Linked DNA regions of Daphnia pulex. The protein of the gene in region 3 purifies or fractionates together with the protein of the main gene of each other region. This does not show direct contact. Links are inferred from orthologs where the notes say so. Each region holds a gene or a part of one and is shown on either strand. Other genes may lie near its edges. The genes, in order: small nuclear ribonucleoprotein F, small nuclear ribonucleoprotein Sm D2, U2 small nuclear ribonucleoprotein A'-like, splicing factor 3B subunit 3-like, splicing factor 3A subunit 3-like, pre-mRNA-processing factor 19-like and probable ATP-dependent RNA helicase DDX46.

Region 1 (2,575 bases), on a different chromosome or scaffold from region 3:
TAAATGTGATCCTGACAGTAACGTTTTAATCTTCGTTGTCTAGTTAGGAACGTACATTTGTACAATGTTTATTATTTGTTTCAAACCGTAGTAATTCATCTCGGAGTTCAACAGCCTATAACTCCCCTAACGTTCAAACGACAGTGATAACTTGCGCATGCTTACCGTCCTATAGTGTTAACAGCCGTGTTACATGCAGGCCAATTGAAACGTATTGAACAATTAATATTCATAAGCAATTAGGTATTCTTATGACATCAGCTGGTACCAGCGTGAGCCAATCGGAAAAGGTGTTTCCGGATTTGTTTGCCTTTTTGATTTATACCTTACAAAATATATTTACGAACAAGTTGGTGTAAGTGGAAAAGAAATGTGACTTGAGTTTTACGAGCATGCGGGACTGCGGGCTGCCTACTAACTTCATTCATAAGGTAGCTTAACCATTTTCCATTTAGACAAAGCCTTTATTTTCCGACTAAATGGAAAAAATCGCCGGAACGTAAGAAATTCCAGTATACTTAACATTAAATCACCAATACGGTAGACAACGGTTCTGTGTTTGGAATTTGGATACTGAAAAGCTGTTTTTTTACTTGTTTGTCCTTCGTTGTCTGTGGGAATCTTGTAATGTATACACCAGAACATATTTTTTAGGGTTTCCAGGTTTCCTATACAATAACTTCTATGAGATAGATAGGAAATGACATTATGTATTAAAGGATGAAAAATTCAATACAAACAGCAATCAATCTCTCATTTCTCCCTCCTCATCATCTTCTTCCACTCCACGTATGTAAAGTACATTGTTGCACCTGACAAGAACTTCACCCAAGTTTCCAGTACAGCTTCCATCAATATATTCTTCTGTGTTTGCCAACTGTGATAATATAAGAAGAATTATTGCCATTGTTCATATATGCACACTGTTTCGTGCAACAGCATGTTTTCATTTTTTTACTGATGAAAATGCACTACATGGTATAATTATTACAGTACCTGAAGATTCATGTATCCATCAACTGAAACGAGATAACCTTTGTATTCATGGCCCCACTTCAGTTTTACCATAATCGGTTTGCCGGTTAAGGCATTGAGAAAGGGTTTGGGATTGATGGGCATGGGTGCCTGAAAATATGAAATATAACATGTTAGTAAATGGTCGGCTAAAAAGGACCACCCAACAAGATTTAGGTTTTGAACTTACTGCCATGATTTGTATTTGTTTTAGTCAACGATTTTACAAAATTTGATTGAATGTTTGACAAGCGAGTCAAGCCGCGTTATTTCAGTTTACACGTTCTGTAACGTAAAGATCAGAAGTAAGGGTTGCCAAGTCGTCTTATTAAGTACATCAAATTTTGAGAAAGTTTTTCCATTTTGTAGGAAAGAAATTTACATATTTAAACCTAATAACTAGTGAACTAAAATTACCTTATAAAATAGGATTATTTAAATAATTTTTTGATGTAATGTAATGAGATATCCATCGTAGAGCAACGATCCCGGATCTCTGGTTCCGGACCAAAAACTCACGTCACCTATTCTGTTTTCAATCATAATAGCTGGAAAAATTTACAACCAAAGGAGAATTTTTTTTTATGTATCGTTATTAAGTGATTTTGTTTAATAAGTGACTCGTGGTCGTGGATATGAAAAGTCTTTTTAACAAATTGGCAAGAACAGAGAAGCTTCACAACCAGAATTAGCGCTCTCTAAAAAGTAATAAAAGAGGGTTTTGCGTTTCGCGGAATTAAAAAGATAGGAATTTATCACAGTTTGTCTTGATACAGAAAGACTTTTTAGGTTCAATTTTACATTTTGGAAGCTTTTAAACGGTCAACAAACCGGTTTCTTATTTCACTCCGGTGTCCATTCCGCGCAATTTCCTTTATTATCGGTTACCGAGTGTAAAATCTGGCAGTAAAGCTTGTACGGTGTATGCAGCAGAGGCTGAAAGCAGTGCACAGCTGGAATTTGCCGTTATATACGTGGACACACAACAAGTTGCTCAGTTGCTGACACTAAACTCTATCTTACCATTCTTTCATCTTTTTGCACTTTTTTTAAAGTTGACGTCACTTTCCAACCGATTGTTTTTCTTCCATTTCCTCACTGGGTTCCATCATTGGACCAAATAAACGAACAATCGTTCCACTGTTAAGACGATTTGTTGATTTTAGTCTGCCATGGACATTTTTTGAAAACAAAAGCTGACTTGTCTTTTTCAGCAATATTGAAATAAGATGTTTGGTGAGTAAATAACTCTCCCTTTTCCATTGCTCAGAAGTTTGTGTTGATTTTGAGTTGGTTGTTGGTAGTCACAAGCTTGACAGTTAGTTTCGTGAATGGTTAAAGAAATTCAATTGTAATTGAATTTGGTACTCTCTCATTTTCAGGGACGGTATGGATTTTGATTCACCGGGTACCACCTACATTTTTCCTGATGTGATGCAACCCCCAATAGAGCTTGAAACTGTCAACCCCCTGCCAAGCAGGGGTTGGCCGGGTGGAGTTAAGGGACATGTTCGCTCTGCAAGTCATGGTGTCATCGGAGTTTCCTTATTGAATCCAACAT
Region 2 (2,737 bases), on a different chromosome or scaffold from region 3:
ATGAAGAATTGGGGCCTGCTGTATACAAAGCTGACCCAGCAGGTATATATCTAAAATAGGGTGTAAAGTTCTCAAATTGTATGCTTTATTGCTGTTTTACTTTTTTTTCAAGGATATTACTGTGGTTATCGTGCTACTTCAGTGGGTGTTAAACAAACCGAGGCATCGTCGTATCTTGAGAAGAAATACAAAAAGAAACAAAACTACACACATGATGAAGTTATCCAGCTTGCTATTACAACTCTGTCTCATATCCTAACTGCTGATTTCAAGCCATCTGATATTGAAATTGGAGTTGTTTCTAAGGATCAACCAGGATTTAGGTAAGAAAATGCGCAAAATATTTAAGTTTAGGAAATTAATGTGACTGATCTGATTGTTATAGAATTCTGTCGGAAACTGACATCGATAAGCATCTGACTGCAATTGCCGAAAAAGATTAAGTTTGATTTTGTAACTTTTTCTTTCAACATTGGAATAAAACGAGATAATAAAACACATTTTCCGCTGTTCGATTTTTTTATTTCATACAAAAGTGAGAGATAAACACATACAATTATTTTGCTCCAGGAGTACCAGCCAAAGGATTTCTTAATACTAATATTACAGAATCTCCACGTAGGAACATTTTGGAGATAAAACGGTCCTTGTTGACTGGTTTGCTCTATAAAATAAATATACAACTGTCACTGTTGATAGATGAATGAATGAATGCAGAAATAGTGAAAATTACCTTCTTCTTTCCTTTCCCTGTTCTGGGAACTTCAGTCCACATTTCCTTGACATTTTCTAGAACCATATTGCAGTGACGGTCAAAAGCTTTAACACGTCCCAGTAGCTTTTTGTTGTTACGGCAGTTGATCAAGACCTGAGTGTTGTTTTTTACACTCTGAGTCAAAACTGAAAGTGGTCCAGTGTTGAATTCTTCTTCTTCCCGTTTGGCCAATTCCTCCGGTGTCATCTCCGACTTGGGTTTATTTGCAACAGCCCTATGGAAAGAAACATTTATTATTTAGTGCTCATACGAAACTGTCAAGTAGAGAAAAATCTGCAGACACGGAACACTGTAACTAGCTGAAAATATAGATTTAAAAATTTTCTATTTTGAAATTGAACTTAAGCTTTACTTACGCCATGATAAATAGAAGGATGTAAACGGATAGAGAAATATTCTTTGGAATATTTTTGAGCCCGGCTTCGTTTAACTTTTCAAACCGTTATTCACTTGTTTTTCGTAAACAAAACGTACATGCTGCGTTGTCATATTGTATTAATTAGCATTAGACGGTTGATGCTATTTTATGTCTTATTTGCGATTTAATTGCCAAAAATTGTTTTTTAATGTTGACTTACATTTTTAAGAGACACGTTTCAATTTCTAATAATTGTTGTGAAAAGAAAAGAATGAAATTTGCCAAGAAAAACATTTACAATCCCAGACGTCAGACGTCTGGGACTCTGTACTGGAATTCGTTTTAGTCGAGAGGAAAGGAAATACAAACCTCAGAAAGTAGAGTCAAGAGAAAACCGAAGCGGTTGACAATTGTCAGCCGACAGATGTTATGTTATGTAGCATAGCTTGTCTAATGCCATATATGGACATATTCCCCCCGTATGCACAGACTATTCTTTCTCATGGTCCCCAATGGAGAACGCTTTCCAGCGTTGTTGATAAGTCATCCTGAAACGGCGAAAACTTTCGAATCACGCTGTTATCGGCTGTTCATTGTGCGAAGGCGATCTATGGCAATTGAAACTTTTTGGTCTAAATTATAGAAACAGAGAAAGTTGTCGACACCGGTCCCGAGAGTTTCAGATTTTTAATACATAGGGGAGGGGAGGGCAGATTAGAGGGAGGGGAAGTAAAAATGTGAGTCATCGATGTCTGCCCATAAAAGGTCATCCTCCCCGAGAAACTGAATGAAAGAATAAGTGTGCAACTGGCCCAATAATTTTTTTTTTTCGTTAAAACACTCATGCGAGATGCACACCATTTATTAGGAAGTCGGAATGATCATTTAGAGTCGGCAACTTTTTGCTCAAGCAGAAAAATCTGCGAGTAGAGGATTTTACAGAAAAAGTTACTTTTCGTAACTCTCTCCAGGTTTGTGGTTTGGGCTCCCCTTTTTCGGGTTAACAAGCGCCCGATATGGACAACCAATCAGAGAATGTGCAACCAGTACACACAAAATTCTCTACAATCGGCATCATCCTTCAATCGCTAAGCAAGCAGAGACCCCTGGCGGTTACCCGAATTCATTTAACGACATTTGAGATTTTACATAACAGCAAACAGAATAAGAGTCATACAAATTATTTTTAAAATGATAAATGATGCGCCTATCATTATATGTTTTATTTGTGATAAATTAGTGAAGTTTGTAATATGGTTCGAAATAGGCATCGTTTGACGGCGCTGTATTCCACCCCCAGATGACGCGCTTTTCTGGGTGTGGACTGGGTAGCGCCAAGTTTTCTCAAGTTTGGGGAACAGCCGCCATTTTGCAGTGCGAGGTCCCGGCCGGTGTAGAGAAGTCTACTCTGAGTTTCCCCTCTTCTTTCGCCGCGCCACGAGTAAAATCTTATCGAGGGCATTTTCTCTCTCTCTCTCTCACTCGCACCACTCACTCCCCCCAGTGCCGTCTCATCCCGCAGTCATTCGGGTTGATCTTTCAGTTTAGGCGTCTTTGAGCTTTGCGTGAAATTTTTCTAGACTTTTTTCTTAGTCCAAAATGGT
Region 3 (3,262 bases):
GTAGAATTTTGAACTTAAAACGATCAGTTCTGGATTTTCGTATAGCTGTAAGTTGTAACCTACAAACCAAGTTTGCTGCCATTATCACATCATCATGGCGGTGTTAGCTCATGATATTCCGGATGTGGTATCGGGAAAAATAGGAGTGGGCGCCAAAAATCTTACTCAAAACAACGAAACTTACGCACGGGCACGCTCGTTAATGAAAGGACACGAAACGCTCTAAATTAGATCGTCTACAGTTTCCAAGCTACTCCTAACCCGTCATGTCCGGCTGAAAATAACGCACACCCCCACATCCGCCTTCTATGCATGACTCATTCCGCAAATGGCAGATGAGCCTCTTCCGAATACACGTAGGATATACACACTATGTAGCATATCTAATTCTATGACTGAAAATTGGTTTCGCTACGCATTTTTCACAACACAGTTTTGTTAAAATGACCAAATTTAATCGCTTCTCGGTCTTTTAACTGTGACACAAATTAGACGGGCAATTTGTAATTTCAAAAATATCTTTCTGCTACCTTATTTACTCTAGGGTAGCGATATTTTTATTATCAAAGTGTAGTCCCACATTCACATTAACAGCTTGATACAAATTAATTTTTACCCGTGATGGCATTGTCATTTCTCCATGGGTTCATCTTCTTCCTCCTCCATATCTTCACCTACAACAATTCAAAAGTTTTAACAAACGAAACAAGGAAGTTGAAGACAGGATGTGAATTTACCATTTGCATTTCCGTTTTTGCTGGAGCCTTGGGTGGCTTTTCCAGGTACGACACCTGCCCTCAACATTTGGTTTAGACGTTCTACCTCTTCCAAGGTGGAGGCATTAGCAACAGCTTCTCGGATTGCACGAGCCTCCTCCGCAGATGCACCACCTACACAAAATAATTTAATAACATTTCTTAGGCTAACAAAACAAAACATTTGTGTTTTTTACCTATCGGTGCCTTATTTCCCGCTTCAGCTGAAAGAAACTTGCTTTTCTGGGCGATTTCTTTCGCCAATACTTTTCCTTTCTTTGATTTGAATAGGTCTCGGGCGGCTTCTCTCTCCTTCAAATCAAGTTTTACATGAATAAGGAGGAAAATTCCTGATGTCAGGTAGAACATTATTACCTTAAGTTTTACTTTACGAAAATCCAACACCCTCAGGCTTGGCAACTTGTTTATCACATATGAACGATAATGTTGCTTATTTGCAACAGGATTGCTCAGTAGACTTAAATAGGTGAGTTTAGAGAATTCTGCTAATGGGTCAAGGTCGCCCAACTCTTGCAGATGATTATTTGTCAGGACAAGGGTTTCGAGGTTTGGAATGACTTCACCTAATCCATCAGCAATGCGTCTACAGATTTTAAAGAATCATTTGCATGAAATTAAATTTGTGAATAATACAACAAAAAACTTACAAGATTCTGTTGTTGTTTAGGAGAAGACTTTTAATTCGTCTCAGCAAGGGAAAACCATCCAATTTCCTTATGTCATTATCTGAAAAATCTATTGTGTCAAACTGATCCTGAAAAAAGAAAACACTCCAGTAACTGTTCAGCATGATTACACTACAAATTTACTTACTAAAGTTGCTCCTAGGTTTTCAATTACAGGAATCTTGTAACCTAAAATGATGACAAAAAATAGCTGTATTTTCACGAAATATTTTTACAATTACATCACTTTTTTTAAGCCAACACAAAAAACTTTTGAACTTTAGTAACTGACTGAATGAGATTGAAGCTGAACGCCGGTTACATACCTCTTAAATCTAGTTCTCTTTCTTTGATGGCATTCGTGTACTGGTGGCTCAAGTGAATGACCTCAGCCGTCAACTTCACCATTTTCTTTTTGGCTTTTTAAACCTTAAACACGTAATTGAATTTGGGAAAAGATGCAATTAAAACTTGAACAAAATGTTTTTGCACGTTTGTAGTTGACAAATCTAGGGATATCTAAGTGACGCCATGTGCGATGTTGCAACTCATTTCCGAATACATTTCCAAACAGGAAATTAACTTTTCAAACTAAAGTTTTATCAAAGGTTTTGTGCATCTGTAGCTTTTTATCTTGAAATATAAATACTTTTCTAAACTAAAGTATTTAAATTTGTCAACAAAATTAAAAAAAATTATAAACGTTAGAAAATATATGAAAATGGCTGTGTTTTTGCCGCTAGGTTTTAAGCAGACGACAATAGCCACGAACGATTCGGCTTCCAGTAAAACTGTAAACAACTTCAAAATATTGAGTTTGTGTTGTAACTTGAAAGCAAGTTATCAACTTTGAAACAGCATTTGACATTTATCTTAAAATATCAAGTTAAAGACAGTATAAAACATGATTATTGCTGTTGAAGGGTGCGCTCATGGTGAACTTGATCAAATTTACCGGTCTGTCGAGAATTTGGCGAGGCAAAGAAATGTCAAAGTTGATTTGCTCATCTGTTGTGGAGATTTTCAAGCTGTTCGAAACGAAAGTGACTTACAATGCATGGCAGTACCTGACAAATTCCGTCATATCTGTACATTCTACAAGTATTTATTTATAATTGTTTTAGACAAATAAGAGTTTATTGTAATTGTTACTGTTTTTTTCAATATCAGGTATTATAATGGTGAATTGAAAGCACCAATTTTAACTATTTTCATTGGAGGCAATCATGAAGCATCAAACTATCTACAAGAACTTGCATATGGAGGCTGGGTTGCTCCAAATATATATTATCTTGGCTATGCTGGTGTAGTCAAGTTTGGTGGCATCAGAATAGCGGGAATATCAGGCATCTTTAAAGGACATGATTACTTGAAAGGACATTTTGAAAAACCTCCCTACACAAACAGCACTATGAGATCAGCTTATCATGTTCGTAGTCTTGAAGTATTTCGCTTGAAACAGGTAATTACATTTTGATTGTTTTAAAGATTAAAAACTTAAATGTCTTTTAATTTTCAGTTAAAAGAAGACATAGATATTTTTATTTCACATGATTGGCCTCGTGGTGTCTACAATTATGCAGATACCAGAGAACTTCTGCATTGGAAACCATTCTTTCGGTTTGAAATAGTGTTACCTAATTGTTCCAAAACACAATTCAATTTACACATTTCTTTCTTTCCCCTTCCAGTGATGAGATAGCCCAAAATGTATTGGGAAGTCAAGCTGGAGAAACATTACTTCACGAATTGAAGCCTAAACATTGGTTTGCTGCCCACCTTCATTGTAGGTTTGCTGCTACAATCCAACATAATGAAAAA
Region 4 (4,140 bases), on a different chromosome or scaffold from region 3:
GAAAACTATAATCTCATGCTGTTCCCGACGACGACGAAAGTTGGCCCAAAACTACCGACTGCTGATATCGCGTATACAACAACAACAAGTCGACGATGTTAAATTCCAAACGTCGAAGAATTTCGCTGCGGCTATCTTTTGGAAGATGCTGCAATAAAGGCTGTTCCAAAGAATGCAAGGACAACATCAAATTCTTCGTTTTTTCTAGTTTCGTTTTTTTTCAAACCTCTAAACTTGTTCTTAATAGGAAACATCAAAAGTCAAGAGTTGATTTCCGACTGCAAGCCGTTCCACATTCCATCACTGGCGACAGAGGACGAGTTAATCGGTAAAGTTCGGGAACTCGATTGTTTCAGTCAATATGAATTGAATGACTCGAAATGAATTCAACGGTACATTATGAATTGAAAAAAAAAGATAAGTGCTTCAACACCCTTATTCGTTATTCCTTACCGCACCGCAAATAAAAATTTTTGAATAAGAAATTTTAAAAGATAGACAAGTTCGGGATGCTGAGTTGCACAACCGCAAAATTAGGATCGTGCGCCAACGAGTTTTTGTAACGTTGTGGGGATAGTAGAAAGCGGGTTTTTTATTATTTAAGCATAGAATTACTTATCTAATCTTAGAAATGTTCAGGATTATCGTTGTTTAGAACATTCTGCTTTTTATAGAGTAATTTTAAATGTATAATTCAGCTTAGTTTACCCATTAAAATTAAAGAAAGTCCAAGCCTGGGATGCTGTTTAGTCTTTTCTTGTGTTTTTTGACAGATCTGCTGACAAGTGACAAGCTCAAACACACAAGAAAAGACTAAACAGCATCCCAGGCTTGGACTTTCTTTAATTTGAATGGGTAAACTAAGCTGAATTATACATTTAAAATTACTCTATAAAAAGCAGAATGTTCTAAACAACGATAATCCTGAACATTTCTAAGATTAGATAAGTAATTCTATGCTTAAATAATAAAAAACCCGCTTTCTACTATCCCCACAACGTTACAAAAACTCGTTGGCGCACGATCCTAATTTTGCGGTTGTGCAACTCAGCATCCCGAACTTGTCTATTCAAAGCGTGGCTGCATGGTGGTTCTAGAGAGAAACTCGCGCGCATAGCAAGGGATCGGAATATGAACACGTCTTTTGAATTACTTTATGAGTAATAAAAACAGCTGTGAATAAATCATTCTTGATTATCACCACTGAAATTTTTTATTAATTTCACAATTTTATTGTATAATGCATTATGAAATCGTTCTATAAATAATAATAATAATTTAAAAAATCTTGTGATAAAGAAAGCGCAAATGCATTGAAAATGCTGTGTTTAGGGATAGACCAAGTAGAGAGTCGATGTCAGATGTTCAAAAATATTGCCTATCACACAATGCACGAGAAGTCGAACCCTAAACTCGAGCGCGACGCCGGAGCCAAGAGAGATTTCACTCAACCTTTGCTGAATTTTCCATCATGGAAAATCTGTAACATCCACAGGTAAATTCAAGTTTGACTACACATTTTAGTTCCAGATAGTTGAAAAGCAGTTATTTTGATGGTTAAATGTGTGTTTTTGGCGATGTTTAAAATATTGAAGCATGTCAATTTGAAAACCTTGCCGGGTGAGATGCCGGGGCTGTAGTTTCTTTCGCGTACTCGTCTAGCTATTAAAGAAAAGAAAACCCCTTACAACTTTACCGCCTTTCTGTGAATTAAGTTTGGTGGCTATACATGAGGGGGACATTAATTTTCAAATGGTGTGTAACATTGTCATTAAACATGTTGGACAAATGTAAGAATTATATCTGATAACATTTTCGCAGGTGATGCTCATCTAGGCAGTTCAAGTTACACATTGGACACGTCAACTTGAAAGAAAATGTATCTTTACAATCTGACTCTGCAGCGTGCCACTGGCATCATTCAGGCAGTCCAGGGCAACTTCAGTGGCACCAAGCAACAGGAGATTGTCATTGCTCGTGGAAAGGTACTCGAAATTGTGAAGCCGGATCCCAACACTGGCAAAGTACACACACTTCTCAGTCAAGAGGTTTTTGGAATCATCAGGTCAATCATTAGTTTCAGGCTTACTGGAGGAAATAAGGGTGAGTTGTGCAAATATAATTTTTAAAACATACATCCTGCTAACTTTCATTAATTCTGTATTTAGATTACCTTGTGGTCGGATCAGACTCTGGGCGAATTGTCATTCTTGAATACAATGCTGCCAAAAATGTGTTTGATAAGGTGCACCAAGAAACGTACGGCAAAAGCGGTTGTCGTCGGATTGTTCCTGGACAGTACATGGCAATTGATCCCAAAGGCAGAGCTGTTATGATCAGTAAGTTTTGATCCGTTTTTAATTTAAATTCTTGCAAGTGATGAGTTACGTTTTTATGTCTTCTTTCCCCATCTGAGAAAGATAATGCTGATATCTAACGTTTTTACTGAGAATTTTTTAAAATCGAAATCTTGTGGCTTGAGAGTGCGCATTGCTTTAACATTTATGTTTTTTTTTTGCATTGCAGGTGCTATTGAGAAGCAAAAACTGGTCTACATTCTGAACAGGGATGCCCAAGCCCATTTAACCATTTCTTCTCCGCTGGAGGCTCACAAGTCAAACACTCTAGTTTACAACATAGTGGGTGTTGACGTGGGATTTGAAAACCCTGTATTTGCTTGTTTGGAGATGGATTATGAAGAGGCCGATGGTGATCCAACAGGCGAGGCGGCACAGAAGACGCAACAAACGCTTACATTCTACGAACTCGATCTGGGTTTAAACCACGTCGTTAGGAAATATAGGTGCGTAACAAATCTTGGTGATTTTGGTTTTGCCTGGTTGGGTTTCAAAACCCCTTAACTTTACTGCTCTCTTGTCACTTAAAGATTGCAGCTATACATAAGGGGGACATTATCTATCATAGTGTGTAACATTGTTGACTTATGTGTGACAATGTAAGAAATATTTTGATGAACATATCTTTACTTTAATAGTGAGCCGTTGGATGAGCACGCCAATTTCCTCATCACTGTTCCTGGAGGAAACGACGGACCTTCCGGAGTTCTGGTTTGCTCCGAGAACTACATCACATATAAGAATTTGGGTGAACAGCATGACATTCGTTGCCCAATCCCCAGAAGAAGGGTACGTTTGATCATTTCATTATGTTATTTGGCGCGCGGTATCTCCAGCCGTGTTCTATACACGTGCTGGTCGACTAGTGCCTAAACTATACTTGGAGATGTTTGCATCGTTGGATTGTAATGCGCATATTGCATGCTGTCCTGGAACGAACCTCCGATAAGTTATTTATTCCATGTATTGAGGACGGTAGTAATAAGTTTTTTCTCTGTAGAATGACTTGGATGATCCGGAAAGGGGCATGATTTTCGTCTGCTCGGCTTCCCATCGCACCAAGGCCATGTTTTTCTTCCTTGTCCAAACGGAGCAGGGCGATATTTTCAAGATCACCATGGATATGGATGAAGAGGTGGTGAGAGAATTGAAAATCAAGTACTTTGATACCGTTCCAGTTTCGTCCAGCATGTGTGTGTTGAAGACAGGCTTTCTATTCGTCGCATCGGAATTTGGAAATCAGTTAGTTTTCTTAAATTTTTTTTTCTATTTGCTGAAATGATGTGTATTGTCATCCGTGTTTCACCTGAGATAACACTTTGATTATAATTTTTGACTCTGATTTCGGTTACAAAATTTGAAGTAGTTTTATGGGTTTTCAAGTGTATTAATTTTCCTTGTGTTATTAGTTATCTTTACCAGATTGCTCATTTGGGGGATGATGACGATGAACCCGAATTCAGCTCTACTATACCATTGGAGGAAGGAGATACTTTCTTCTTTGCTCCGAGACCTTTGAAGAATCTTGTTCTCGTGGACGAGATGGAGTCTTTATCTCCAGTTCTGGCCTGCCATATTGCTGATCTCGGTAGGTTTGATAATTCCTCCTGTTTTGAAAGGTTTTTAACATTTGTTTTCAATTTACAGCCAATGAGGATACACCCCAGTTGTATGCACTTTGTGGTAGAAGTTCTCGTTCGTCTCTTCGTGTTCTCCGTCATGGATTGGAAGTATCGGAGATGGCTGTTTCTGAACTTCCCGGTAACCCCAATGCAGTGTGGAC
Region 5 (4,205 bases), on a different chromosome or scaffold from region 3:
GCCATTTCGATATTTCAAATACAGATGTTATCAATTAAAGACAAATTCAATTATAAGCAAGTGATTAAAGCTTGGGGTGCCTTTTCAATATCGTGATTGCTCAGAGGTTTTAAATATTTGTTATAAGATGACTGTTTAAAATTCGAATATGATTAAGATTACATACCTATAGTAAGGTGGTATATACTTTAAGTGTGTTAAAATGCAAGTATACTAAAAGTAGCTGATCGATGAGGATATCGACGGAAATCAGTGACACATAAGCATTAATCCATATTCTTTTTCTCGACATGTCGATGAGCTGGGAATTGAGACGAATGACGAAAAACTCCATCTGAGCAAAGTTTTGTGATGGGAAGATGATTCAGTAATACAAGTTGACAACAAAGTGATAAATCGAAACATAGATTAAGATTACCAATATTACAGTGACACTCGACAACAACCAAGGAGCTTGCGCTTCCTCTGTGCAAATGTGATGGAATAAAAATATAACCGCGCACGAAGTTATAAGATTTATTTTTCCAGTCATGTTTCTTTACAAGAGACCCTGTCGACGCAAATCTTCGTACGTTTTCTTGGGGATGACGTTGCCCATCGAGTCCTCGTACTCTTCCTCGTGATCGGCGACGAAACGTTCTGACGTTTTCTGGCTTCTCAATTTTGTCCAAACTGAAGTTTCAATTAGAATTTTATTATTAATCGGTAGGGGACAGGAAAAACAAAAATAAACTGAAAGCTTACGTGAAATTGCATCTTCGATTCGTGTTACGTTAGCAAAGTGGGCCGTGTTGGGAATACCCAGACACCGCATGCCGTGAGCGTGACGCCATTCGGCAAAATGACGTTGAAACGCCTTTGGACCTTTGTACGTGTAATTGCCGCAAATCTCGCAATTGTAGCTGATGTTCAAGCCGTGCAATTTGTAAAGCCAATATGGAATGGGCTGGATAAGAGATGAATCGATAAGATTAGAACAAAGTTACACAATTATTAATGTTGGTTCATTTATACCTTTCCATCCCAACCTAGTGGTAAATTCTTGGGATTGTAAGGGACGTCATCGTCTTCATCTTCATCCTCGGGGACCTGAAAATGGCAGTTGAGAATTTAAAGTTTAAGGAAATATGTCAAAGTAATTAAGTTATACCTCGACAACGTCTTCTTCTTCCTCCTCTCGTTCCCCATCTGTTCGGGCCTGTTTACGTTCCACGTTCTCTTTGGTAGCATGCCGTGGTTCAGACAAGATCTCAATCAGTCTATGAATTATTCACAATTAATTATTCATTCAATTTCATTCAATAATTTAAATGGAATTACTTATAAACTTGAGCCTCCAGAAGGGCAATCTTCTTTTGTTTTTCGGCTTCCTTATCTTGTTCGGTAGCACCTCGATTTTTACCCTGGCCTTTGGCGAAGAGAGATTTGTCAATTTCATCTACCGACAGACCTTTTGTACTGAAGAGTCTTTTGGCACGGTCTTCGAGTGTTCCACCGCACTTGAGACCCAAAGCTATCAATGCTGATTTCAAACGATCCAGTCCTAGAGATGCCAATTCCTCACAAGATGAAAAGGCTGAAATATCCAACGCCGCACCTGCGTTTGCCAAAGCACTTCCGGTTGTTTCTTTCTATAAATTTGCCAGCGTTAGTTAGGTTGGACAGAAAATAGAAACAGTCGTAAATAGACTTACCGGCCATCCAGGAAATGTACCCGCTACAAAGTCCTTTTCGAAATCTTGTTCGATTTCATGAAACAAGTTGTCAAGGTCCATGACTGGTTTTACTCGAGCAACATAATCGACTAAATAATCCACCAATGCTTGTAGATAGTTTCTGTATTCAGCGTTCTTCTTCTCCCGGGGAATATCAAAGAGACGGTCAAACATATTAAGGTAGCTAATGTAGTCAATTTTCTGTAAGAAATATAACTGTGTTAATTTTTTTCGATTTGTTTCTTGTTTCAATCTATAAACTGACCTGAATTCCTTTTAAATTTGTGTATTTCACATAGCTTTCATGAAGATCCAAATATTTGCCATAGCCCTCCTCATCGGTAAAGTCAACCAAATCTGAAAATCAAATTACATTAGCTTTATATGACTGTGCTTTCTGTCAGATATAACCTACTATTTGTTTCGTCAGCTCCACTCTCTCTCTGTTTGGCAAACTCATCAAATTCCATGGACATTGGTACAGCAATCTGTGAAACAAAACCAACTGCTATTGAATGACACTTAAAGAAAATGAATGTGTTTTATACCTCATTTGGATGTTTTTTGTAAAATTCCTTGATCTGTTTTAGTCTGTTGTAAAATTCCACAAATTCATTTGGTCCAGAGAGCAGTGCCACCTCCTCTTTGCGCTGTCCGTCCTTGTCTTCATAGATCTCTTTCAAAACTCTTGTACTCTCCATATACCTCTACAGTTATCAAAATACGACATTAAGAGTTGTTTGTTCAATTGTATGAGCCAAAGTTTACATACGTCAAGCAAAATTTTCTGACGGTGTTCCGAGTTGATTATCTCCCTTTGAGTGGTCTTTTTGAAGATTGTTTCCTTGACCATGGAGTCGATGATACGCTCTTTTTCTTCATGATATCTCCTCTGCTGCTCTAGCAAAGTCTCCATTGGTTTTAATGAATTGAATTGTATGATAAAATAAAAAAATTTAAACAAGCCGGCAATAAACGAGCAAAAATCACAATGCTTGGGCTTGGAAAACAAACTGGTGGCCGTTGTAAGAACTAAAGTATTCTATCGATTTTTTGCAAAAACTATTTTCACTTTTTTAATTATAATGTTTTTAATTATTAAAATGGTACAATTCGTTAAAATAAAAGAATATATTGTCTAAATTTAAATTTGATGATTTGTTACTCATTTCATGTTTACAAGACTGTAAAGTGTAAACCCCTTAAAATTAAATTTTGATTCATTTACCTTCTCAATATACACAGCTTAATAAATTTTCTAGCTTAATTAAAAATTTTAATTTATTCCTAATCATTAAAAACCAATTTCATTCATTGCATTCCAAGAAAATGTGAGCATTTTTTTGCTGTCAGGACTCAGGACGGTAATGTTTCCTAGTGTCGCCAGAGGGATGGAGCGAAGTCTTTGAAAATCGAAATAAAAAGAAAAAAGAAAAAAAAGCTGAGCTAAGCTATTGGTAGCCATATTGCAGAAGAGCGAAGAGGGGAGGTATACTGAGGGCCAACAACGGTCGAGAGCCGCCGCCGATTCAGTGCGTTATAAGTGGCTGTCACCCGAGAGAGTGGTTTTCACGTATACGCAACAGTACTTATTTCTGTTTTATTCTTTTACATTTAATCTGATTAACATTTTTTAGTGTATATCCACACATCCAAACCGAAAAGAACTTGATGTTTGTTTATCAGGTGGCCGTCGTTCAAACAATAGGCGTGGTGTGTGTGTGTGTTTCTTGAGTTGTGTTTGGTGTGTTCGCCATTGGGAATCGTGAAAAATCGAAAAACGATTCGGCCTCTTGACTCGAGTGTTTGCCCTAAGCATTCCCCCCTCCCTTATTTTCATCCTTTCCCTATCAATGACACTCAAGGCTCATGTTGAAATACAGGTGTCTGAATGAATGCTCATCTCTCTGGGTTTGGAAATAATGTACGGGCCAGCCATGACATCACCATTCCTTCCTTGTATTCTTTCCATTCAACCGTAATTTATTTTTTCTCCTCTTGACATTTCAAAAGGAATGTCTTGGTTTTCGATCAACCCTGATGCATTCGCTAAACTGTGACGGCACCCTGCCAAATGGACAGGATGTGTTGGGAAGTCACTCTGGCCTTTCGACAACTCACATATACATATAGAATCCCATCACTCTAGCTATGTGCCCACATGCTGACCATCTGTGTACTTTAGATTTTGTTGACCATATGCTATTGAATCTCTTCTACACCACCAGCAACAACCCCAGTCTGTCTGTCTGACATTAATTTCTTCCTGTTGTTTTCTTTCTTTCCAGGTTCTCCGTGCGTATTGTTCGCGCGAGCGTGAGTCTGCAGAAGAAGAAGAAGTAAAAGCCCGGCTTTCAACTCTTCCAACAAGAGTCAGAGGAGAGAAAAAGCTTGAAACAGCCCAAGAGCAAACAAGATCATCCAACATGCCGAAATCGGTGAGTTTGTGTACAGTGACGTAAGATGCTGCCAATTTTAGCACAACTGGCC
Region 6 (4,209 bases), on a different chromosome or scaffold from region 3:
TTGTGTCAACTCTTTAGGGAGAAAAAAAAATGCGTCAAATTAAAGAAGACAAATTTTTTGAAGGGCAGAAAATTTTATTCATTCAACAAAACCACGCTTCCAATTACAAAAGATGCAACAATGCAACTTGATAGAAGCGACGGTTGAAGGAACTGTTTTTGGGCGACTTACCTCGTACTTTATCTGGAAAAATCTTGATTCAGGATAGCAATCCAATATGAAGAATTTGAACTATGAAATTTGAAATTAACGTAGTATGATCTCACTATTCCTTGTTTACAAGAGTCGACCGGCATTTTAGGCCAAATACATAAACCCCTGTACGAAGGAGCGGCCGATGCATCGATTGCCTAAGCCGCCATTGGGATATGCTTCAAGAAAGCGAAAATGCCAAGCGAACTGCCACGCCACTAGTGACAAAATTTCGAAGCTTTTTGTTTTATTTAATGTATCGATAGTAACGCGGGAAACTTAACTATCGATATACACTCGTAGAATTGTTTTTGATGGGAAAAATGAAACGCGTGTATTTTTGTGAGGGCGAGAGTTCGATGCGGTTTGCACACCTTACAGCAAAAAAAAGGATAAGACGAAAAATGTTCATTTAAAAATCCCCTCTCAACATTGAATACAGTGAATCACTCGATGCCATAAATTTTCAGCGTACGATCCATACTCACAGACGCTATCGACTGCGCATGGTTGCCGAAACGGACTCCCATAGCCAATGCTGTATGGTCGTTAAAAGTCTTAAGAGTTTCCCATTGCTTGCAGAGATAAACACGCACGTCGGTACCAGCCACAGCAAGGTAGGTGCCGCTTTGATCGAAGCACAAGTCCTTAACTTCGTATCCTTCGTCGAGCTGAATTGTTTTAAAATTCTTCAATTTCCGTAAATCCCACAATTTGACGCAAGAGTCTTCTGCCGCTGTAGCCAAATAGTAACCATTTTCTGAAAATGACAAAGCCGCAATAGGACCGGAATGACCTGTAATTGTAAAAATGGTAATAGTAAAGCTAATGTTTATCACAAGATTATTTTAAAAGAGCCAAACCTGGAAAGTTGGCCACGTTAGATTGTTCTTTTAAATCCCAAATTTTGATCTGTGAATCTTGTGTTCCAGTGCCGAAAATGAGACCATCTGGATGGAACTGGGCTGTCGTAAGCGGATTTCCGTCTGTGTCGGCAACCTTTGTCAACAACCGCCCAACGCGAATGTCTGAAAATGCCCAGTGTTGATCCAGTGACGTCGACAAAACATATTCTCCGGTTGCGTGGAGCGACAAGCCTGTGACAGGGCCATCATGAGCACGGATGATGGCAGATTGTGAGGAGCCGGTTATATTCCAAACACGAATCGTCGCATCAGGAGATGCTGTTATCGCGACTTCCTATAACAGATTCAAGGGGTATATTAGTATCATATAACAAAGTAAATCAAGAGAAAATTAAAAGAAAACATGAAATTACCTCTTCTGGATGATAAAGCACCTTGGTAACTTTTTTTGTATGTCCCTTGAGAACAGCAACAACCTGCTCAGTGTCCTTGTTAAAAACTGTAGCGCATCGATCGTTACCTCCAGTCAAAATATGAGAAGTATCGGCGGCGTGAACGTCCATGGTCAAAATTCCGGGCATACTTGCACTGTGCAAAGCCTATATGTAATCAATCCATGAAGATGGGATAACATTTCAAAATTATATGTCATTACCGGATGAGATGCCAAAGTTTTATATCCCTTCAAAGCTTCTGCTGTAGCTAAGCCTTCGGGCATGGTTTTGCCTCTACGTTTTCGTTCTTGAGTAAGAACAGTGGCTTTATCTTGTAATTGTGATATGATTTCCGGAGTTAATCCAGCTGCCTCGATCGGTTGTGCTGCCACACCACCCGCTTCAGCCTTACATCAAATCAGTAAATTTATCATAAATAACATACAAATAAATATCATAATGCTTTCTTACTGAGGCAGCAACAGATGGTGTAGATACAGCAGCATAGCCAGTCTGGGGCTTAAGAGTTGCAAGTGCTTCCCGTGCTGTAGACACTTCCTTGTGGAGGCGTGCAATAACACGACAAGCAGCATCATGTTGGTAGAGAGCATGACTACAAATAGAAAGAGAATGTTTGCACAATAATTCCATGTGTAATTAAGTTGGTCAATACCTCAATTCTTGTCGAGCAGTTTGTAATTGTTGCCTCAAAGTAAAGGAATTTAACATGACAGCATCCCATTCATCTTGTAAAGACTTAAGCACGGCGGGAATGCTTGTTGCAGATGGCACTTTAGGCTTAACAATTGGGGGGGCTAGAAACAAAATTTCAATTACATGTAAATTCATTGTGGAACTTTGATAAAAAATTTCTTACTTTTGATTTCAATAAGTTGATCTACAGTTATTTCTTTCCCATTGATGGGATCTACCCCGTTATCAGCAATGTACTTTTCAATCAGCCGACGTTCAAACACAGATCCTGACACCGGTGAGACCACAGGATGTTCGGGAACTTCGTTCGACACTATATAAGCAAGAGATATAAGACATTAAATATCAAATTTCTCAGAAGAATGGATTGGTTTTAAATTGATATTTATAATGAAAATGTAATATTACGAGAACAACAGAGGGCCATGATGAAGCGTGTAACCTTTTTTTATATACTTTTCACAAAAATGTGCGACAAGCCAAGATGCATATGTTCGCTTCGCTTAGGGCTAAACAGTTGCTAGACTACACTATTCAATAAAGCGCTTCATTCCTCAGTGCGAGTTTTCTTTTCTTTTCAAAATCCAATCATTTTTTTAAGACTCAGAAATTTTTTTATTGGAATGTGTAAAAGAAACAGCATAGTTTTTTATAAGTAATAATTTCATAATTTAAGTTTCAAGTTTTCAACTAGAAAAAGTGTCCAGGCAACGGTGCAAACTGACTGAAATGCCGGGCCAGCCATTTCCCCCATTTCTCAACTGAAGAAGCCAACCCAAGCGCAGTGCGAACACTCCTCGAAAATTTGAAAGATTCGTTTACTGTTATATTCAATTTAAACTGAACAATGGCCTCTCAACAAAAATTCCCTGGAAAAGAAGGTGGTGATAATTCGAATGAACAAGGGTAAGAAATTTTTTCCATTTATAATATGACATGTGAAGTTCATGGGAGAATGTAAATCCATGACGCCGTACACTAAGCTTTTCATGATTTGCGTCCATTTACTATTTTTTGGTACGAATCTTGTTTTTTTAGTAAAATGTTCATCGGAGGTTTAAGCTGGGAAACGACGCGCGATAATTTGCTTCGATATTTCAGTCAGTATGGTGAAGTTGTTGACTGTGTGGTAATGAAGAACCCAGAAACTGGTAGATCGAGAGGGTTTGGGTTCATTACATTTGCTGATCCTAACAATGTTGGTTTAGTACTACAAAACACACCCCATATACTCGATAATCGCACAGTAAGTTTTTATATTTTCTTCATACTCTTATTTGCACTACCTGAGCGGTGATAGAATGTTTAACATAATTTTATCTCCTTTCGCGGTATTGCTACATAGAAGTGGAAGGAATTGAAGTTTATATCTCAACTTGAGATATATATTTGATTTCTTTCTACATTTTTGGTTGTTTTTTATGATCTCATATTTTTATGTTTATGCAGATTGACCCCAAACCTTGTAATCCACGTGCCGAAATGGTACGCGCTCCTCGCCGGAGTATGGGTACAGGAAATGGTTACAAAGTATTTTTAGGTGGGCTTCCATCAAACTTGACAGAAACAGATCTTCGTAACTTCTTCTCGCAGTACGGAAAGGTCTCTGAAGTCGTTATCATGTACGACCAAGAAAAGAAAAAATCTCGAGGTGAGTCACTTTCCTCAATTAGTGGGTATTAAAGTTAATTAAAACAGCGTAAATAAACTATGAACGTCCTTACATAACGTATGACGCAAGTGTAAGTGGTTATATTCCGAAGATTCGATGGATTCCTTTTTTGATAACTTTGCTAACTTTAATAGTGTGGTTATTTTATTCCTATAGGTAAGCAAATGGCTAAGTTCCTATCCACGTTTACTTCTACTGCTCATGTGAAAGAGTTTCCGCGAATTACAGTAGATAATATGCCATTAAGGAACTTGGGAGGGTGGATTTACAAGTTTTACATCTGACTAAATATTGGCATACCCATTGGGTTGAGTCAATATTTCTTTCATAA
Region 7 (4,077 bases), on a different chromosome or scaffold from region 3:
AGCTACCAAAATAAATTAGTTTATAAACAAAAATTCATTGTTAATTTAAGAAAAAAGCTAACTTTCAAAAATTTTTGTTCGTCTTCCATAACAAGAACATGCTGTTCGACGTCAGCACAAACAACGCTACGACCTCCAACCGTGATTTCAACAGGTTTGTTTAGGATTCTACGAGCCAAGGCCTCCATTTGACGGGGAAATGTAGCACTAAACATAACAGTTTGTCGATCAGGGCGAGTGTTATCAATGATTCGCATTACCTATATAAAAGGAATAAATATTTCTAGTCACCCGACGAAGTATTACTATCTTGCTTACTTGTGGCTCAAAACCCATGTCGAACATGCGATCAGCTTCATCCAAAACTATGTAAGTCACACGCCGCAAATTGGTGACACGTCCTATTTCAAAGACTAAAATTAAGACACTTTTTTAATAGTTAATCTATAGGTAAATTTTACCGTTGTTGGCAGCTAACATATCAATCATTCTTCCGGGTGTGCACACAATAATTTCAGCGCCACGTTTTAGTTCAGCTATTTGCTCTGATATTCCCGTTCCTCCGTAGACCGTCACCACACGCAAATTCAATGACTTGGTGAATCTTTTACATTCTTTGCCGATTTGTAAGCACAATTCTCGGGTAGGAGACATTATGATAGCTAAAACAGTGGAATATTTATGAAGGTAAAATAATAATAATAATAAAAAAAAATAAAATAAATACATCGATGATATTAAACACTACGTACCGATTGGCCCATCAGTCTCTTCTAATGCAGGCTGGTCTAAAATATGCCTAAACATAGGCAGCAAAAATGCCAGTGTTTTGCCACTGCCAGTTTTGGCAATACCTATTATGTCCCTGCCTATATATTTTAATAATAGTATTTTTTAAAATTTATACAACAAAAAAGTGTTCGTTGTTGTGTACCAGACATGATTGCAGGGATTGTCTGCGTTTGAATGGGGGTTGGTTTTTCATATGCTAATTTTTTTAGAATTTCCATTTCCTTTTTACTAACACCACATTGTGCCCATGCTTTTATAGGTCTCGGACACCCTTTTCCTTTAACTTTAATGCCTTCAAGTTCCTATATGTTAAACAATTTTTTTTTAACGTCCTGGGGCACTAGCAATTGTATCAGTCATACACACCTGTCGGTATTCATCTACTTCTTCTTGGGTCATACGTGCTATGTCGGGTACTTCCACGTAAAAGTTCTTCCGGAAAGGAAAATAGTTGATTTTGTTGTGATCAATTTTAAAAACTTTTTCTTTCTGTTTTATGTTGCTATTCGCCAGTCCGGACATTGCTGATGCCAAGTCTTCTGACTCTTCTTCTGAGGAATATTCCAAAGCGTCCTGATTTTGTTCCACAAGCTCACCTTTCTTTTTAGCAGCTTTCTTTGCTACTCCGGTCATTACCATCACGCCAGATCCTTTTGATTTTTGAACGTCAAGTTTCTGAACCTTTCGAACTTCACTTTGAATGTCCTATTTTTTTTTTTTAAATTAAATAGATGTTGATTTAAAAATACTAGTGTAAGCAGTAAGGTACGAATCCATGTCGATTCGGCAAAACCAAATCGGCACATGTAGATATTCTGAAGTACCTGCATAAAAGCATCTAAAGGGTCAACTTCTTCCTCTGCTTCTTGAACTTCAATTTCTTCGTTGATCGTTTCAATTGCTTCAACTTTAGCAGATTCAGTTTTCAATTTTCCATCTTCCTCTTCCTCTTCTTCATCATCTTCAAGTGACCATTTTTTCCCAGCTCTTTGATTGGCTGTTTAAAAGGATGGCAATATTATGAAGTATATAAGACAGTCAGTTTTTTTAAAAAGTTATTTCTAGATTATTACCTAGATCAGATTTAACTTGAGCAATTTCCTGCATCTTTCGTTCTAAACGCCATTTTTCTATTCGTTCTCGGCGTTTCTGCATTTCCAAGTCCAAAGTTTTCTGCTCCTCTTCCTATATGCAAGAAAAGAGACAAACAAACAATGTACACCCTTTCAAAATATTAAAAAATAGAACAACTTACTTTGGCAATCATGGCTGCAACAGCTGCTTCCTCCTTTAGCTCTGATTCAGATTTCAAAACAGGTTTAATTTCTTCGACTAAAGTTGGTTTTCTATCAGGGGATTTTGAAATTCTTCGTTCTGAAGTTGTTGTTGATCTTTTAGATTTATCATGATCTCTATCTTTTGATCTGCTTCTTCTCCTGGAAAATGTTACAAAAAGGTAGTTTTTACTTCTTAACATGGATCAGACTATCTTTTGTAAACATGAAAAATTAATTACTTGTCACGCTCCCTGTCCCGATCTCTATCTCTTTCACGTTCCCTGTCTCTTTGCCTGTGTTCCCCATCTCTATCTCGTTCTCGAAGTTTTTTAGAACGAGGACTACTGGATCTGCTTCGGCTTCTGGATCGTTTATTATGCCTAGCGTAGATGAGAAATGTAAATAAAATAATAATATTAAGCAATGAAAAACTGTAAACAAAAAATTTACATAATCTATATCGTTATTATAATCTGCATATTATTTTACTTAATAAATGAATTAATAAGTTAAATAAAAATAACAATTATACTTGTGTCCGTCACGAGCCATCGAAAAGACGTTTAATTTCGGAATACTTAATAAATTTTGCAATGAAATGAGTTAAATACAAAATGCACATGAGTGCGTCAATTTTGATACACAGATACAGGCAACATTGCCATGTTTAAAATGAATTTTACTTCAAACAAATTGAAATTGCCAACTGCTAGCTCAGGGCTCTGCTCAGGCTACTAGCTGCTGCTAGCTTTTTGCAAAATGAACTTTGTCCTGTCCTGTCTTTTCCATATCCATGTTTATAAATAATATCTAGATTTTGAAAATGCAAGGGAAATTTCTTCTCCCGGCTATTCAGATTTTTGTCCTACACACCAGAGGGTTTTCAAAATCGGCCGGTAGATGGCTTGCAAAATGAAGTGGGATGATTACGAAAATCGTTAGAAAATGGCGGAAAATTTTCCAGATTTTAAATCCCTTATATCTCTGCCAATAAAGCTTAGATAAAAAACGGGGCAAGACGTCTGTGGAAAGGGGCAAAATCTTCTGAAAAATCCGTTTTTTAAACGGCCTGGTTCACCCGAAAACTGATGTAAAAAACCCGAAAAAACGCTACAATTTCTGGTGGGCCCTCATAGTTTTTCGTGAAGAATTCAAAACTATAACAACAAAAAACAGTAAAATTCCGATAAAATGGTTTATTTGGGGATGTACTGCGATGCCTTGTCACCAATTCCCCAAAAATGATAAGCCCCCCAGACCCCCAAATCCGGCCTCCTTGACTGGTGGACTCGATGTTAGAAGTATAATGGTTGCAACCCAGAAAAGAAAGAAATAATTGTCTGTAGACCTCCTTGGCAGAGTAGTAGATAATGGTGTAGCCACTAGGACAGGAGGCCTTCCATTTCCTTTTTCCCTAAAAGTGTTTCTAGCTTTCCACTTCCCAGCTCTTAAAATTAGCGCCACAGCAGGTGTGGTGGGAAATGGGGAATGGTTTTGCCGAAGGTTTCGCTCGGTAGCAAGAGGCGTTGGTGATAGAGGATAAACATAGATACCTAAGCTCAGTTTTCACTATCGAGTCGTGATGTTCGCTGCAGCTCTAGGAAAAATTTCCGAGAGGAGGAGTTAACATGGTAGTGGGTACACCATTATCTATTACTCTGTCCTTGGAGTAATGGAAGCCAAAACCACGATATAATAGGAAAGGTACAGTATCCTTCAAAAAAATCCGAACGGCGATTTTTTTTCAAATAGCCACCTATCCATATGGCGGGGAACTGGGTTTGGTTTATAGGCCGAATTTGGGGGGGTAAGGAACAAAGCGAAAGGTGGGAAGAAAGAAAAAGGAGTAATTAGCCATTGGCCATGTCTCCCCCCTCCCCCCCCAAAAAGAAATACGAATGAAATCAGACAGGCTGTCTGGAATTTTCATGGCGCGAAAAGTTTATTTAACCGACTTAAACTCATTGCCGATTATTAAACAAATGACTTAAGGCGATTCCTTTGAACT

What was found.
Region 1: the proteins of U2 small nuclear ribonucleoprotein A'-like (region 3) and small nuclear ribonucleoprotein F purify together in Homo sapiens (affinity purification with mass spectrometry; 3 studies listed by BioGRID and IntAct, counting the BioPlex papers as one, with this or other methods). This does not show direct contact. The link is inferred for Daphnia pulex from reciprocal best matches to the Homo sapiens genes SNRPA1 and SNRPF.
Region 2: the proteins of U2 small nuclear ribonucleoprotein A'-like (region 3) and small nuclear ribonucleoprotein Sm D2 purify together in Homo sapiens (affinity purification with mass spectrometry; 5 studies listed by BioGRID and IntAct, counting the BioPlex papers as one, with this or other methods). This does not show direct contact. The link is inferred for Daphnia pulex from reciprocal best matches to the Homo sapiens genes SNRPA1 and SNRPD2.
Region 4: the proteins of U2 small nuclear ribonucleoprotein A'-like (region 3) and splicing factor 3B subunit 3-like purify together in Homo sapiens (affinity purification with mass spectrometry; 5 studies listed by BioGRID and IntAct, counting the BioPlex papers as one, with this or other methods). This does not show direct contact. The link is inferred for Daphnia pulex from reciprocal best matches to the Homo sapiens genes SNRPA1 and SF3B3.
Region 5: the proteins of U2 small nuclear ribonucleoprotein A'-like (region 3) and splicing factor 3A subunit 3-like purify together in Homo sapiens (affinity purification with mass spectrometry; 6 studies listed by BioGRID and IntAct, counting the BioPlex papers as one, with this or other methods). This does not show direct contact. The link is inferred for Daphnia pulex from reciprocal best matches to the Homo sapiens genes SNRPA1 and SF3A3.
Region 6: the proteins of U2 small nuclear ribonucleoprotein A'-like (region 3) and pre-mRNA-processing factor 19-like fractionate together in Homo sapiens (co-fractionation; 3 studies listed by BioGRID). This does not show direct contact. The link is inferred for Daphnia pulex from reciprocal best matches to the Homo sapiens genes SNRPA1 and PRPF19.
Region 7: the proteins of U2 small nuclear ribonucleoprotein A'-like (region 3) and probable ATP-dependent RNA helicase DDX46 purify together in Homo sapiens (affinity purification with mass spectrometry; 3 studies listed by BioGRID and IntAct, counting the BioPlex papers as one, with this or other methods). This does not show direct contact. The link is inferred for Daphnia pulex from reciprocal best matches to the Homo sapiens genes SNRPA1 and DDX46.

Annotation. Positions count from the first base shown.
Region 1 is NC_060019.1:9,593,819-9,596,393, reverse strand, and holds small nuclear ribonucleoprotein F, read right to left. Parts: upstream 1,352-2,575; 5' UTR 1,211-1,351; coding exon 1,205-1,210; intron 1,126-1,204; coding exon 997-1,125; intron 878-996; coding exon 746-877; 3' UTR 737-745; exon of another isoform or gene 695-736; intron 683-694; 3' UTR 501-682; downstream 1-500. Other genes in the region: phospholipid-transporting ATPase VD-like, read left to right, coding at 2,404-2,575. UniProt on the Homo sapiens protein: Plays a role in pre-mRNA splicing as a core component of the spliceosomal U1, U2, U4 and U5 small nuclear ribonucleoproteins (snRNPs), the building blocks of the spliceosome.
Region 2 is NC_060018.1:305,245-307,981, reverse strand, and holds small nuclear ribonucleoprotein Sm D2, read right to left. Parts: upstream 1,525-2,737; 5' UTR 1,354-1,524; intron 1,285-1,353; exon of another isoform or gene 1,253-1,284; 5' UTR 1,137-1,252; coding exon 1,132-1,136; intron 990-1,131; coding exon 734-989; intron 665-733; coding exon 557-664; 3' UTR 501-556; downstream 1-500. Other genes in the region: proteasome subunit alpha type-6-like, read left to right, coding at 1-42, 113-323, 386-443; cofilin/actin-depolymerizing factor homolog, read left to right, coding at 2,733-2,735. UniProt on the Homo sapiens protein: Plays a role in pre-mRNA splicing as a core component of the spliceosomal U1, U2, U4 and U5 small nuclear ribonucleoproteins (snRNPs), the building blocks of the spliceosome.
Region 3 is NC_060021.1:10,325,758-10,329,019, forward strand, and holds U2 small nuclear ribonucleoprotein A'-like, read right to left. Parts: upstream 1,993-3,262; 5' UTR 1,850-1,992; coding exon 1,768-1,849; intron 1,631-1,767; coding exon 1,590-1,630; intron 1,531-1,589; coding exon 1,424-1,530; intron 1,360-1,423; coding exon 1,131-1,359; intron 1,068-1,130; coding exon 953-1,067; intron 891-952; coding exon 738-890; intron 675-737; coding exon 631-674; 3' UTR 501-630; downstream 1-500. Other genes in the region: lariat debranching enzyme B-like, read left to right, coding at 2,346-2,542, 2,612-2,903, 2,961-3,061, 3,133-3,262. UniProt on the Homo sapiens protein: Involved in pre-mRNA splicing as component of the spliceosome. Associated with sn-RNP U2, where it contributes to the binding of stem loop IV of U2 snRNA.
Region 4 is NC_060019.1:9,348,549-9,352,688, forward strand, and holds the start of splicing factor 3B subunit 3-like, read left to right. Parts: upstream 1-1,340; 5' UTR 1,341-1,495; intron 1,496-1,821; 5' UTR 1,822-1,877; coding exon 1,878-2,103; intron 2,104-2,168; coding exon 2,169-2,339; intron 2,340-2,526; coding exon 2,527-2,803; intron 2,804-2,995; coding exon 2,996-3,146; intron 3,147-3,357; coding exon 3,358-3,599; intron 3,600-3,766; coding exon 3,767-3,945; intron 3,946-4,004; coding exon 4,005-4,140. UniProt on the Homo sapiens protein: Component of the 17S U2 SnRNP complex of the spliceosome, a large ribonucleoprotein complex that removes introns from transcribed pre-mRNAs.
Region 5 is NC_060028.1:1,227,858-1,232,062, reverse strand, and holds splicing factor 3A subunit 3-like, read right to left. Parts: upstream 2,745-4,205; 5' UTR 2,632-2,744; coding exon 2,488-2,631; intron 2,423-2,487; coding exon 2,264-2,422; intron 2,204-2,263; coding exon 2,131-2,203; intron 2,073-2,130; coding exon 1,981-2,072; intron 1,917-1,980; coding exon 1,695-1,916; intron 1,632-1,694; coding exon 1,321-1,631; intron 1,260-1,320; coding exon 1,151-1,259; intron 1,090-1,150; coding exon 1,015-1,089; intron 947-1,014; coding exon 745-946; intron 673-744; coding exon 539-672; 3' UTR 501-538; downstream 1-500. Other genes in the region: moesin/ezrin/radixin homolog 1-like, read left to right, coding at 3,387-3,428, 4,004-4,153. UniProt on the Homo sapiens protein: Component of the 17S U2 SnRNP complex of the spliceosome, a large ribonucleoprotein complex that removes introns from transcribed pre-mRNAs.
Region 6 is NC_060022.1:3,393,987-3,398,195, reverse strand, and holds pre-mRNA-processing factor 19-like, read right to left. Parts: upstream 2,747-4,209; 5' UTR 2,634-2,746; coding exon 2,615-2,633; intron 2,520-2,614; coding exon 2,370-2,519; intron 2,308-2,369; coding exon 2,166-2,307; intron 2,106-2,165; coding exon 1,964-2,105; intron 1,900-1,963; coding exon 1,714-1,899; intron 1,658-1,713; coding exon 1,472-1,657; intron 1,393-1,471; coding exon 1,056-1,392; intron 989-1,055; coding exon 639-988; 3' UTR 501-638; downstream 1-500. Other genes in the region: heterogeneous nuclear ribonucleoprotein 27C-like, read left to right, coding at 3,054-3,112, 3,245-3,452, 3,656-3,857. UniProt on the Homo sapiens protein: Ubiquitin-protein ligase which is a core component of several complexes mainly involved pre-mRNA splicing and DNA repair. Required for pre-mRNA splicing as component of the spliceosome.
Region 7 is NC_060028.1:6,108,852-6,112,928, reverse strand, and holds the start of probable ATP-dependent RNA helicase DDX46, read right to left. Parts: upstream 2,801-4,077; 5' UTR 2,622-2,800; coding exon 2,602-2,621; intron 2,450-2,601; coding exon 2,309-2,449; intron 2,229-2,308; coding exon 2,048-2,228; intron 1,978-2,047; coding exon 1,866-1,977; intron 1,790-1,865; coding exon 1,617-1,789; intron 1,498-1,616; coding exon 1,159-1,497; intron 1,095-1,158; coding exon 935-1,094; intron 870-934; coding exon 753-869; intron 663-752; coding exon 462-662; intron 402-461; coding exon 319-401; intron 261-318; coding exon 63-260; intron 3-62; coding exon 1-2. UniProt on the Homo sapiens protein: Component of the 17S U2 SnRNP complex of the spliceosome, a large ribonucleoprotein complex that removes introns from transcribed pre-mRNAs.